4 linked regions of the Saccharomyces cerevisiae S288C genome follow. The gene in region 1 interacts genetically with each later gene. Each region holds a gene or a part of one and is shown in the gene's direction. Other genes may lie near its edges.

Region 1 (3,191 bases):
GGCACAAATACAATCTGCATATTATATACTTAACAGAAGTACAATCATATACAATACAAACAACAATTGACGAAACAATGAAAGTATGTACATCCTTATACTTATCTATTTGTGTTATGGGCTACATACGTAGAGGCCGATCACAATATCAGTGGTTGCTCATTGGAAAAGGAGGGATGCAGCAAATTCTGCATTTCCGTTAGTCTGTTTAAGAGCCTTTACCACAGCATCCCTAGGGAAACCTAGATCCATAAGCTGTTTAATCGTTTGTTCGGGAAACGTTCTCCCGGTTGCCGTTGTAGCACCGGCTGTACTTCTTCCCGTAGGTGTTGGCCCCATACCAGTCCTTGGAGCAAGCGCAGGAACAGCCCCCGGTTGTGGTGGTAGAGTTGAACTAGTCTTGGTGGGTGTTAGGGGCTTATCAGACGAAGTTGTAACTGACGTTGGTGCTGGAAGTCCTTCTTGAAAACTTTTTGGGATTTCCGCTTCACTCAAAAAGCTTGTCTCCACTTCTGCTATCCTAAGAACGTTTTCCTTTAAGTCCACACAAGCCAAATGCCTTTTCAGCATGTCTAGTCCTATCAAAACATCGATGTCAGTATCTAAGACGGTAAAACTGCATGGAATATATTGTGTTTCTATTTTGACTTGGGCTTGGTGAATTCTCCCAATAATTTTGCCGGTTCCTACGCCACGAGCTTCTCCAATAAATCTCTTGTCAATCATTCTCGACAGGCCAGTTTTCTTCGCTAACCTGGTGGACATAATCGTTGTTTGAGCCCCTGTATCTACAAATGCCTTTACGGGGTAGTTATTTATTTCGATATTAATGTAAAGCATAGGGACCTGGGTAAACATTTCAGGTGTATATTCGATAGCATTGCGCAACTGTTCATCGATAGCTTGTTGGTCTAAAAGCTCTGCAATCCTCTTCTTGTTGTCAGGATCATCGGGGTTGGCCATTAGTCTAGTATATTCATCTTGGGGGATGCCAAAAGGATTCATGGCGGTGTTATAGCCACCATAACGTCTTTGTAATATGAGCGGGCCCAATCTTTCCCTAAACAACAGTGGGTCATTTACTAAATCATTCAATCCAGGGATTTGCAAAATGAGTTGTGATCTAAGCATTTGATTATTAAGTAGCTCTTGTCTAAATTGCTCTATGAACGCTTCGTCGGACAAAGTAGCAGCATCTGTTTGAATGGAATTGGAAATCTTACCCCTAATCAATAATAAGTCATCGGTTTTGAGCCCTAGTTCTTTTAAAGACTGAGTTCTGTTTGAGTCTAGAATGTCCATATTGTAATATAAGTCGTGTTTTGTTTTGTCAAACCCGCAATCGGCCTGCAGTAATGCTATTAGATCAGTTAAAGCCATATCTTCACTGACTTCAATTGGGCCGTATATCTCGCCAGTAAGTTCGTTTGAAATTGTTAAATCCATCTTTACGTATATTTTTGCTGTTATGTTTGGTATGTACTTTGTTAACTACGTTAAGTATACTTTCTTATTCGACCTACTTTATATATCATTTTGGTATTATTATCTTTTCGGTGGCGATGAATTTACAGGGCGGGGTGGCGACGGGAATTCTTACATAAAGTTTAAGTTATCTATGAATCAATGAGAATTGGCCACTGCCCTCTGATATGACGATGGAAGTGGTACTTTTCCTTTTTAATTTTTTACTGAGAATCAAGAGAAGCTAGAGAGGGATTGGTCTCAATGAAACTAAAAAGGGAGTATGATGAGTTAATAAAAGCAGACGCTGTTAAGGAAATAGCAAAAGAATTAGGGTCTCGACCTCTAGAGGTTGCTCTTCCTGAGAAATATATTGCTAGACATGAAGAAAAGTTCAATATGGCTTGCGAACACATTTTAGAGAAAGATCCATCACTTTTTCCCATACTTAAGAATAATGAATTTACGTTGTACTTGAAGGAGACTCAAGTCCCTAATACACTCGAAGATTATTTTATTAGGCTTGCAAGCACAATTTTGTCTCAACAGATCAGTGGCCAAGCAGCTGAAAGCATCAAGGCAAGGGTTGTCAGTCTTTATGGCGGTGCATTTCCTGATTACAAAATCCTTTTCGAAGACTTCAAAGACCCAGCAAAATGTGCAGAAATCGCAAAATGTGGATTGAGTAAAAGGAAAATGATATATCTAGAGTCTCTTGCTGTCTATTTTACTGAAAAATATAAGGATATCGAAAAGCTCTTCGGTCAAAAAGATAATGATGAGGAAGTGATTGAAAGTTTAGTTACGAATGTAAAAGGTATAGGCCCATGGAGTGCCAAAATGTTCTTGATCTCCGGATTGAAAAGAATGGATGTATTTGCTCCTGAAGATCTAGGTATTGCTAGGGGTTTTTCAAAATACCTTTCAGATAAGCCAGAATTGGAAAAAGAATTAATGCGTGAAAGAAAAGTAGTTAAAAAGAGTAAGATTAAGCATAAGAAATACAACTGGAAAATATATGACGACGACATAATGGAAAAATGCTCTGAAACATTTTCTCCGTATAGGTCTGTGTTTATGTTCATACTTTGGAGGCTCGCGAGCACAAATACAGATGCCATGATGAAGGCAGAAGAAAATTTCGTGAAATCCTAACTTAAAGATATCATGTATTACTGACATTTATATAAGAAAAAAAAAAATAAAAATAAATACACCCTATTGTTGTGTGTGATGCCTACTAAAGAAATTCATATTTACAGCTTCTCGTAGGGATACCAACATATAATAAGAAAAAGCCTCACACATACAATCCAACCATTGGAGCGACAAAGCGGAAAAGCGAGTATACTGTCAATTCTCATAAGAATACCTTTATCCATTATAATGGTTTCGAGGCTAACTTCGACGCTTCACTTAAAATTTTACCGCTAGTTACTTTGCTTGAATGTGGCAAGGTAATGATTACGTTTCTCATCGGAGCTCTTGGCTTCCTTAATTGAGAGGCAAACACCAAAGAACTTGTTAGCAACGCCAAAGCACCAGCTTGATGGATAGAAGCTAACGATATTGGGACTAGGTACAATATAGTTAAAATACCAAGTGTTGCTTGTAAAGTAACGACGCCCATCATAACATGCAAAGAGGTCATCGCGTTCCTTGGAATTACGGCCTTCTTTTTGATAGCGTACATATGAGCAGCTAGTACTGATGTAAACGCAACGTAC
Region 2 (2,302 bases), on another chromosome or scaffold:
AAAAATGCCTCAAAAATAATAAATACAATGGTGAACAACGTTAAAAAAGCATAAAACAGCTGGCTATTTTGATCAGGATAACATCTATAAGTGCCATATTAAGGCAAGATATCAATTGACCATGCAAACACCTTCAGAAAATACCGACGTAAAGATGGATACTCTCGACGAACCCAGTGCACATTTAATCGAAGAGAATGTAGCTCTTCCCGAAGACACATTCAGTTCACATCTGAGTTATGTACTTTATGAAATTGCTCATTGTAAACCGATCATGTTTATGATCATCATAATCGTGAGTTTGATCTCATTGATTGTGCTTTTTCATGATAACGACGGGTGCACTGTGATCTTAGTGATGTCCCTTATAGTAGCCTCCATGGCTTTAATGGTGGTTGCAGCATTCACATTCGGGAAAGCGATCACTGAACAGGAGTTCATGATAAAGCTTTTAGTGGAGGTGATCGCACGCAAGCCTGCGGGGAAGGAATGGGGTACTGTCGCATATAATATGAACCAATATCTATTCATGAAGAGACTATGGTATACCCCGTACTATTTCTATAGCGGCAAGAAGTGCCATGAGTTCTTCACCACTCTTATCAAGGAAGTGAATTCTGGTTCGCACTCGGATTCCTCATCGAATAGTGCCGAGGATACACAATCACCTGTCTCAGCAGGGAAGACTTCAAATGGTCTAAACAACTTTTATAGTATTAGATCAGACCCTATTTTGATGGCATATGTTTTGAAGGCAACACAAATAGAAAAGGAGGCTCAAAGTGAATACTGGAGAAAGCAATATCCTGACGCTGATTTACCTTGAAGCGGAAGCATTTTATTCACCAAGTATACTTACTTTTCTTTAAAACGAGAACAAGAATCGAATTCAAGAACATCTCGAAGCCAGAATTGAGCATCATATATTCGAGCTGTACAAACATCATGGCCTACAACTATCGTATTTGTAAGTTTTTTTAGAGGTTTTCATATTTGTTTAATAAGGGTTCTGTCAGTTTTTGTCACATTCTATTGTTGCGCTTCGCATAATGCAGCCAAGAAAATCCAAACAATAGAAAAAGAAAAAAAGGATCTCAAAAAGGGTTTGGTGTTGTAGTTATAAGAATAACTAGTGAATAAAAAAGCTGTTGTTTGGTCCGTATTACATTCGTCAAAAATTTAGTACTCAAATCGTGTATGCAATCGCAACCACAAAATAAAAATATTAGACTGGATGTGTTGAGTGGAGATGGTGCCAATTTAGTTGAGGGAAATGTGGTCCTTCCCAAAGACATGTTCAATTCGTACTTAAGTTATTCACTTTACGTGTTACGAGGGGGCTCATTGTAAGCCGATAATGATTATGTTCCTGGCATCTGTAATTTTGATTTCACTGACTAATTTCCGAGTATACCATCTCATGTCCCTTCTATCCTCTTTTTTCATCTCCGGGACAGACCGACAATAAAGCATCTAATATTAGGCTTTCGTTAGAGGTAAGCACACGCCAGCGTTCGGTGAAAGGGGAATGAAACATTATCACGTACAAGATGAATAAATATCTATTTGACCATAAAATATGGAGTACTCCTTACTACTTTTATTGCGAAGAAGATTGCCACCGTCTTTTTCTAAGTTTTATTGAGGGAAGAACTTTCGAGAAGCCAACAAGCAACGCTGAGGAAAATGTACAGGAGACTGAAGCTGGCGAATCTTTCACATTAAATCCCGGAGAAGATTTTCAAAATTGCTTTCCAAGACAGCGGATATTGTAGAACAATCTCAAGTGAAGTATTGGCAAGATATTGGTGCAATTATTTGAAAGGAAGGAGAAATATTCTGACAGTACCTTGCTAGCAAAGGGATTTACCAATCCACTGACGCTAAAATGGGGTAGTAAATTAGATAAATTGCATTCTAACGTGACTTTATATAGTGGGAAACAGATATGTAGCACACAAAACGGCATGATTATGCTTAATTGATTCCTATTTTTTAACGTAAATACTCTCCCAGAACGATCAGAAAACTTAACCCGCAACCATCTTTGCTGTGCTAACAACTTATGTCGCCTCAATACCATTTTTATTTTGTATCATTCCGGAACTTAGTATTGAATGAAAAATGCCTCCGAAGTAAAAAGCAGGTGATGAAAAGTTTCAATTGGTATAAGACAGATCGCTATTTTGATCCGCATAACATCCTTCAACACCATAGCAGAGCTATAGAGAAGACAAGATATAAACTGGGCATGCAAACATCTTCAGAAAGTACCGACGCCAAGTCGGATTTTCTCGACGAA
Region 3 (4,035 bases), on another chromosome or scaffold:
CAATCATTAGCCGTTCCTCTAGACATCTACAGATCTATTCCTAATCACAACCTATCTCTAGCCGCAAGATATATCTGTGTGAGAGGGGTCGCAACAGGAATACCTTAAATGGGATAACCGTCACGTGACTCTCACTAGGGGCATCAAGTGCGCTGCTTCTTCAAGGTTTTCGCGCCCTGTTTGAAGAAGTGGCACAGAATCCATAGAGTAATATTACTAACGAGCTACGAAACTTAGCTTACCTATTAAATACTCAAAGAAAATACGCTGTGTATGCTTTTGCGGCACATCTATGTCATTAAATCTCTCCATGGCGCGTATATTTTATGACGGGAAATCTGAGGCCGATCGAGGAGGGAAATTACTAGAAAAGCTTATCCTTCTTTACCTCCGAACAAATTTTAAAATATACCTCAATGGGAATAAAGAATGCAAGGAAAGGCAAGGTTCAGCCTATGATGATGAATATCGTACTCTAAAATTATAGATATCTAACTGTGGGCGTATTAAACCTTGCTTTGGTCATTATCCAATCGTGTATGCAGAGAGCGGGGCGATATGCAGCAAACAAAAGGGGCGAAATAATAGTTACTCCAAAGATGAAATGGCAGAAGAAAATGGAAAACTATACAGTTTGCGAAGGAGGCATCCTCTTAGTTAAAAAAAAATTTGGACTCATTGCACTGCAAACAGAGTTTCTAGGATTGTCATATTTTGTACCTCCTGGAATGTTAAGACTTTCTCATTAATAATGGTGTGATACACTTATAGTTGGGTGCTAAAAGGTAACTGCAAGCCCCACATCTATAATATTACCGTTAAGTTTCCGGCGAATAGTTTCTCTTTTCGCCCCTCTATTTCTCCCTTCAAATGTGAAGATAAGGAGGACAGCCATAAATATTCCTGTAATGACATTCCATCTTGGGTGGACAATTTTATGGTATAATCAAGCGTATTTAGAAGTTTGGGCGACAGTATTTCAAGACGAGATGCATAAGTATTCTCTTCATCCTCAATCCCGCGATGCTAAAACAAAGTTTTGTTGTTGCATTCCATTTAAGTAGAGCAAAAGCGTGGCAAATCTGAAAAATTGCCACATAGGGTGCTAAATTTGGTATAATGGCACAAATAAACAATCTCAGTTTACTGACAGTGAACTACAGGAATATACAATTTTGAGGTGTTAACGACCAACCGTTAATAGCTTATTCTCTCATATGTTATACCACTGTAGGAAGAGGTGGTTTCAACTGTATTTTGAGCACAGGTAGATATAAGCTCTGGACAGTTTTGCTACCCCTTGAAAGAATTCAACAGTATTTTCTGAGGTACTCATCGTAAAAGATTGCTAATTTTGGTCGCGATGTATATAGGTAAAGGAGTATTTCCTAAAAGTTGCCAAAGATTATCAAAATATTACCGTGTTTATAAAATAAACTGACACCCGGATAATTAAGAAGTGGTAAGCTTATGTTAGAGTACTTGTACTTGACAAGTAAAATCAGAATTGGGAATTATCAATTGAGATCACGTGCAAACCGAAGAAATGCAAAGAAGTAAGGTTAGGGTTTATGGACCCAGGCAGCAGAAAATTGTAGCTTCATTTGTTGGCACAGGACTATTCCACCCTTAGAATTGACTTTTTGGACATTGAGCTAAGGTTCAATGCACTCGATGGTCTTCTCACTTCCGAATATATAGATCTAGCGTGTGAGGACTACTCATTGGCTTGCGATTTACGGTTTTTATATTTTTTGCCGCACATCATTTTTTGGCCTGGTATTGTCATCGCGTTGAGCGGACTCTGAATATAATCCTATTGTTTTTTATGGATCTCTGGAAGCGTCTTTTTGAAGCCAACCCAACAAAAATTCGAGACAAGAAAATAAAAAACGGCACTTCATCAGTATCACAAATACCATCAATTTATCAGCTCTCATGAATGAAATCGATGAGAAAAATCAGGCCCCCGTGCAACAAGAATGCCTGAAAGAGATGATTCAGAATGGGCATGCTCGGCGTATGGGATCTGTTGAAGATCTGTATGTTGCTCTCAACAGACAAAACTTATATCGAAACTTCTGCACATATGGAGAATTGAGTGATTACTGTACTAGGGATCAGCTCACATTAGCTTTGAGGGAAATCTGCCTGAAAAATCCAACTCTTTTACATATTGTTCTACCAACAAGATGGCCAAATCATGAAAATTATTATCGCAGTTCCGAATACTATTCACGGCCACATCCAGTGCATGATTATATTTCAGTATTACAAGAATTGAAACTGAGTGGTGTGGTTCTCAATGAACAACCTGAGTACAGTGCAGTAATGAAGCAAATATTAGAAGAATTCAAAAATAGTAAGGGTTCCTATACTGCAAAAATTTTTAAACTTACTACCACTTTGACTATTCCTTACTTTGGACCAACAGGACCGAGTTGGCGGCTAATTTGTCTTCCAGAAGAGCACACAGAAAAGTGGAAAAAATTTATCTTTGTATCTAATCATTGCATGTCTGATGGTCGGTCTTCGATCCACTTTTTTCATGATTTAAGAGACGAATTAAATAATATTAAAACTCCACCAAAAAAATTAGATTACATTTTCAAGTACGAGGAGGATTACCAATTATTGAGGAAACTTCCAGAACCGATCGAAAAGGTGATAGACTTTAGACCACCGTACTTGTTTATTCCGAAGTCACTTCTTTCGGGTTTCATCTACAATCATTTGAGATTTTCTTCAAAAGGTGTCTGTATGAGAATGGATGATGTGGAAAAAACCGATGATGTTGTCACCGAGATCATCAATATTTCACCAACAGAATTTCAAGCGATTAAAGCAAATATTAAATCAAATATCCAAGGTAAGTGTACTATCACTCCGTTTTTACATGTTTGTTGGTTTGTATCTCTTCATAAATGGGGTAAATTTTTCAAACCATTGAACTTCGAATGGCTTACGGATATTTTTATCCCCGCAGATTGCCGCTCACAACTACCAGATGATGATGAAATGAGACAGATGTACAGATATGGCGCTAACGTTGGATTTATTGACTTCACCCCCTGGATAAGCGAATTTGACATGAATGATAACAAAGAAAATTTTTGGCCACTTATTGAGCACTACCATGAAGTAATTTCGGAAGCTTTAAGAAATAAAAAGCATCTCCATGGCTTAGGGTTCAATATACAAGGCTTCGTTCAAAAATATGTGAACATTGACAAGGTAATGTGCGATCGTGCCATCGGGAAAAGACGCGGAGGTACATTGTTAAGCAATGTAGGTCTGTTTAATCAGTTAGAGGAGCCCGATGCCAAATATTCTATATGCGATTTGGCATTTGGCCAATTTCAAGGATCCTGGCACCAAGCATTTTCCTTGGGTGTTTGTTCGACTAATGTAAAGGGGATGAATATTGTTGTTGCTTCAACAAAGAATGTTGTTGGTAGTCAAGAATCTCTCGAAGAGCTTTGCTCCATTTACAAAGCTCTCCTTTTAGGCCCTTAGATCTCACATGATGCTTGACTGATATTATTCGACAATATGATTATGTCGTGTAAATAACCCACTTTCATGTTGTCACTCCCTCGGCTTTGGTTGGTTAAAGGGACTTATCGGTTTCTTTTTTTAGAGTTGATTTAAGATCAGATCGAAGTAAATAACGTGCAGAACATTGCATATGATAGATAACAACCTATAGTATATATTTCAAAATCGCGACAAATCTGAAATATTAATTGATTTGATTAGCTGCAGAGATCTTCTCGATGTAAGGAGCTATTTAAATAGAAAGGGTCAGAATCGTCGTCCTGTGGGAGCTGGTATATACTAAATTGATGAACAACTAAAATAGCACTCTCATTGTCATTTTGGGTGTGAGACCTTAAGCAAGGAGAGATATTTTTAATGGATGTATTAGCGCAGCCGTTGCTTACGGTATTCCTTGGCATATTGTCCCTGAAAAAAAACCGTTGTACACTCGGATACGCATTTTTCGGACTTCTCCCACCCAAGAAACGCAACTTT
Region 4 (5,086 bases), on another chromosome or scaffold:
CGCTACATTTCAACAATGTTCTTGAGAAATGGGTGAATGTTGAGATAATTGTTGGGATTCCATTGTTGATAAAGGCTATAATATTAGGTATACAGAATATACTAGAAGTTCTCCTCGAGGGTCTAGGAATCCCCATAATGGAATCTATATTTCTATATACCAATATTACGATTATTCCTCATTCCGTTTTATATGTTTCATTATCCTATTACATTATCAATCCTTGCACTTCAGCTTCCTCTAACTTCGATGACAGCTTCTCATAACTTGTGTCATCATCTTAACACCGTATATGATAATATATTGATAGTATAACTATTAGTTGATAGACGATAGTGGATTTTTATTCCAACAGTTCTCTTCAACCATTCGTTTTTGGGACTGAGGAAAATGAATATAAAATTATAATACTTCATCTTGAACTTTGAGAAATCACAAATTGTATGGGCGTGTGGTCTAGTGGAATGATTCTCGCTTTGGGCGATCCCCCTGATCAAACAGGAGGAACAAAGCATGCGAGAGGCCCTGGGTTCAATTCCCAGCTCGCCCCTTTTTTTGCAACTTCGTTTTAGACAGTTACTTAATTTTGTTTCTTAGGCACAACAATATTTATAAAAGAAGAATGTAAGTATGACGACGAAAACGAAAAGACTAATAGTTTCATATAATACTAAACGATTTCAATTTTCGTTTTATATCCTTCCTATTCATAAATTTTATTTCGCTATGCCAATAATGAGTGGATGTATAGTTGATATCTGTTTCGATAATTTTAAAGTAGATAGTAAAATCTTACTGACATGAATAATCCGTCCAAAACTAGATTACTGTATACAAGCATATTTAAAAAAATAATGAAACTATGATCAAAAAACTGTGCTACTACAGCGGTGTTGTTATCCGATACAACCGGATATTTTTCTTTTAATGAGTCTAAACCGTGATAGCTTCAGGTTAATACAATCAAAAAAAGCTCAAATATTCTTTTAATGCCGCGTTCACAGATTCCAATTGAATACAACTAGGTAGTTCATTATATGAAGCCTTTGCTACTATTTTTCACTATAGTCTGCCTTCACCTTAATGCAGACATCCACATATTTTAATCACTTTAAAATAAAAAGGAAGATATATTAGAAGCTATGATCCAATCTGTAAGCCAGATTAAAATTCACGAACTCTTCTTTCATTTGAATTGAATGCTTTGAGTTGGGGTAGATTATCGCAAATTACTCATCACATTTATTGACTACGAACTTGCTGATGTCCTTTTTTTATTTATATTTTTCTTCAGTGAAGCGATTTTTTTTTTACACAGACCAAGACGGAAAAAAGTAGCTAAGGAAGAAAACAAAATCATGAAAAAAATGTGAAGTGATCATGCACATCGCATCAACTTAAACATTGGCTTAGAGATATATAGAGTTAGAGTTTACGGCAACCTTTAAGCACCAATACCTTTTGGCATAGTCTAAAGACCTGGTTCTTAATTTTAAACAAATTTAACTAAAGATTTCCCTATCAAAGAAGTAACGAGTTGACAGATTTTCTCAAAATAAATCGATACTGCATTTCTAGGCATATCCAGCGATGGGTGAACATGGTGGTCTTGTAGATTTATTGGACAGCGATTTGGAATACTCTATAAATAGGGAAACACCTGATAAAAACAATTGCCTTAGCCAGCAAAGTGTCAATGATTCACATTTAACAGCAAAGACCGGCGGCTTGAATGCAAGGTCTTTTCTATCTACGTTAAGCGATGATTCCTTAATTGAATATGTCAACCAACTCTCCCAAACTAATAAGAATAATTCTAATCCAACTGCAGGTACTTTAAGATTTACTACTAAAAATATTAGCTGTGATGAATTACATGCTGATCTTGGCGGTGGCGAAGATTCACCTATAGCTCGTAGCGTCATCGAGATCCAGGAAAGTGATAGCAATGGTGATGATGTTAAAAAAAATACTGTGTATACTAGGGAGGCTTATTTCCACGAGAAGGCGCACGGACAAACCCTGCAAGATCAAATATTAAAAGATCAATATAAAGATCAAATTTCTAGTCAAAGCAGTAAAATATTCAAAAATTGCGTCATCTATATAAATGGCTACACCAAACCTGGAAGACTGCAATTACACGAGATGATAGTTTTACATGGCGGAAAATTTTTACACTATTTGTCTTCAAAGAAAACGGTTACTCACATAGTGGCTTCCAATTTACCATTAAAGAAAAGGATTGAATTTGCAAATTACAAAGTAGTCAGTCCGGATTGGATAGTTGATAGCGTCAAAGAAGCAAGATTATTGCCCTGGCAAAATTACTCGTTAACATCTAAACTTGATGAACAGCAAAAAAAACTAGATAATTGTAAAACCGTAAATTCAATTCCATTGCCCTCAGAGACTAGCCTGCACAAAGGATCTAAATGTGTAGGGTCGGCATTGTTGCCAGTAGAACAGCAGTCACCAGTAAATCTCAATAATTTGGAGGCGAAAAGGATAGTCGCTTGTGATGATCCTGATTTCCTTACTTCCTATTTTGCTCATTCGAGATTACATCATCTCTCCGCATGGAAGGCCAATCTGAAAGATAAATTTCTGAATGAAAACATCCACAAGTACACCAAAATTACGGATAAGGATACCTACATTATCTTTCATATCGATTTTGACTGTTTTTTTGCAACTGTTGCGTATCTATGTAGAAGTTCTAGTTTCTCAGCATGTGATTTTAAACGGGATCCTATAGTGGTATGCCATGGTACTAAAAACTCCGATATAGCTAGTTGCAATTATGTAGCAAGGTCATATGGGATTAAAAATGGAATGTGGGTGTCTCAAGCTGAAAAGATGTTGCCAAATGGGATCAAACTAATATCATTACCATATACCTTTGAGCAATTTCAATTAAAATCGGAAGCCTTTTACAGTACTCTCAAAAGATTGAACATATTCAATTTGATTTTACCTATATCTATTGATGAAGCTGTTTGTGTGAGGATAATCCCTGATAATATTCATAACACTAATACCTTAAATGCAAGACTGTGCGAAGAAATACGCCAAGAAATTTTTCAAGGAACGAATGGTTGCACAGTGAGCATTGGATGTTCCGATTCTCTTGTGTTAGCAAGACTAGCTCTCAAAATGGCGAAACCAAATGGTTACAATATCACGTTTAAGAGTAACCTATCTGAAGAATTCTGGTCTAGTTTCAAACTAGATGATCTGCCTGGAGTTGGGCATTCTACTCTGTCAAGGTTAGAATCAACGTTTGATAGCCCACATTCTTTAAATGACTTGAGAAAAAGATATACTTTAGATGCTTTGAAGGCGAGCGTCGGCTCTAAGTTAGGTATGAAGATTCATCTCGCGTTACAAGGCCAAGATGATGAAGAAAGCTTGAAAATACTGTACGATCCCAAAGAAGTCTTACAAAGAAAATCATTATCAATTGATATCAATTGGGGAATCAGATTTAAAAATATCACTCAGGTAGACTTGTTCATAGAAAGAGGTTGTCAGTATCTTTTAGAAAAATTGAATGAAATAAACAAAACAACGTCACAAATCACATTAAAACTGATGAGAAGATGTAAAGACGCTCCAATTGAACCCCCAAAATATATGGGGATGGGAAGGTGCGACTCATTCAGTCGGAGCAGCAGATTAGGTATTCCAACAAACGAATTTGGAATTATTGCTACCGAAATGAAAAGTTTGTATCGAACTTTGGGCTGCCCTCCAATGGAATTAAGAGGTCTTGCTCTACAATTCAACAAATTGGTTGATGTGGGTCCGGATAACAATCAGCTGAAACTGAGGTTACCGTTTAAAACAATAGTGACGAACAGAGCTTTCGAAGCCTTACCGGAAGATGTAAAAAATGACATTAACAACGAGTTCGAGAAAAGAAATTATAAGAGAAAAGAATCCGGGTTGACTTCAAACTCATTGAGCTCTAAAAAAAAAGGATTTGCCATTTCCAGATTAGAAGTAAATGATTTGCCCAGTACTATGGAAGAACAGTTTATGAATGAACTACCAACCCAAATTCGAGCAGAAGTAAGGCACGACTTGAGAATTCAGAAAAAAATCCAACAGACAAAGTTAGGAAACCTACAAGAAAAGATAAAAAGGAGAGAAGAGAGCCTACAGAACGAGAAAAATCATTTCATGGGCCAAAATAGTATATTCCAGCCGATCAAATTCCAAAATCTGACACGGTTCAAAAAAATTTGTCAATTAGTGAAACAATGGGTTGCCGAAACTTTAGGTGATGGAGGGCCGCATGAAAAAGATGTTAAATTATTCGTGAAATATTTGATTAAACTTTGCGATTCTAATAGAGTCCATTTAGTTCTTCATTTATCAAACCTAATATCAAGGGAATTAAATCTCTGCGCCTTTTTAAATCAGGATCATTCAGGCTTCCAAACGTGGGAAAGAATTTTACTCAATGATATAATTCCACTTTTAAACAGAAATAAACATACTTACCAGACTGTGCGTAAACTTGACATGGACTTTGAAGTTTGAATTAAAAAAAAAAAAACATTTCAGCATACAGTAAACACGCAGTTTGCGAACATTACCTGTAATATCTGCATGATTATTACCAAAGAAAAAAAAAATAACTGACACAATGGACAATTAAATAAAATTAAGTAAAAAAAATAAGGACTTTAATTTTTACTAGAATTCTTGACCAACAGTAGAAATGCGTAAGGTATTGGAATGGCCGACTCCTCCTTTGAATCCTTGAATGGAAACAACAGTATCACCGTTGTCCACCATTCCGAAAGACCTCGCCATTTCAACACCAAACTTTAGGCGCCTATGAACATCCTCACCCCAGTCGTCTAGGCGTTTCGGTTCATACAGAAATGGGAAAACACCTCTATACAAATGCGCAATTCTTGCCGTTCTTGCGTGTCTTGTTACTAATATGATAGGGCAGCTTGGTCTATACTTCGACAGTAGCCTTGCCGTGTTCCCTGTAGTAGATAATACAACGATGGCCTTACCATCTTGCTCCAAGATTGCTGCGGTAGCTGCAGCTGCTACAGTTTCCGTA

Evidence for each region.
Region 2: mutations in MAG1 (region 1) and DFP2 together harm fitness more than expected from each alone (negative genetic interaction), as found in Saccharomyces cerevisiae (2 studies listed by BioGRID).
Region 3: mutations in MAG1 (region 1) and ATF1 impair growth when combined (synthetic growth defect), as found in Saccharomyces cerevisiae (one study listed by BioGRID).
Region 4: of MAG1 (region 1) and REV1, changing one suppresses a phenotype caused by changing the other (phenotypic suppression), as found in Saccharomyces cerevisiae (one study listed by BioGRID).

The regions. Positions count from the first base shown.
Region 1 is NC_001137.3:454,574-457,764, reverse strand, and holds MAG1 (DNA-3-methyladenine glycosylase II), read left to right. Parts: upstream 1-1,728; coding exon 1,729-2,619; downstream 2,620-3,191. Other genes in the region: DDI1 (Ddi1p), read right to left, coding at 160-1,446; COX15 (Cox15p), read right to left, coding at 2,846-3,191. UniProt on the Saccharomyces cerevisiae protein: Hydrolysis of the deoxyribose N-glycosidic bond to excise 3-methyladenine or 7-methyladenine from the damaged DNA polymer formed by alkylation lesions.
Region 2 is NC_001133.9:184,771-187,072, forward strand, and holds DFP2 (DUP240 family protein), read left to right. Parts: upstream 1-1,550; coding exon 1,551-1,775; downstream 1,776-2,302. Other genes in the region: KTD1 (DUP240 family protein), read left to right, coding at 122-826; pheromone-regulated DUP240 family protein PRM9, read left to right, coding at 2,066-2,302.
Region 3 is NC_001147.6:1,044,288-1,048,322, forward strand, and holds ATF1 (alcohol O-acetyltransferase), read left to right. Parts: upstream 1-1,938; coding exon 1,939-3,516; downstream 3,517-4,035. Other genes in the region: YOR376W-A (uncharacterized protein), read left to right, coding at 909-1,064. UniProt on the Saccharomyces cerevisiae protein: Major alcohol O-acetyltransferase that uses acetyl-CoA to synthesize acetate esters from various alcohols, producing ethyl acetate, isoamyl acetate, isobutyl acetate, butyl acetate, hexyl acetate, heptyl acetate and octyl acetate.
Region 4 is NC_001147.6:980,238-985,323, forward strand, and holds REV1 (deoxycytidyl transferase), read left to right. Parts: upstream 1-1,590; coding exon 1,591-4,548; downstream 4,549-5,086. Other genes in the region: pyruvate kinase PYK2, read right to left, coding at 4,705-5,086. UniProt on the Saccharomyces cerevisiae protein: Deoxycytidyl transferase involved in DNA repair. Transfers a dCMP residue from dCTP to the 3'-end of a DNA primer in a template-dependent reaction.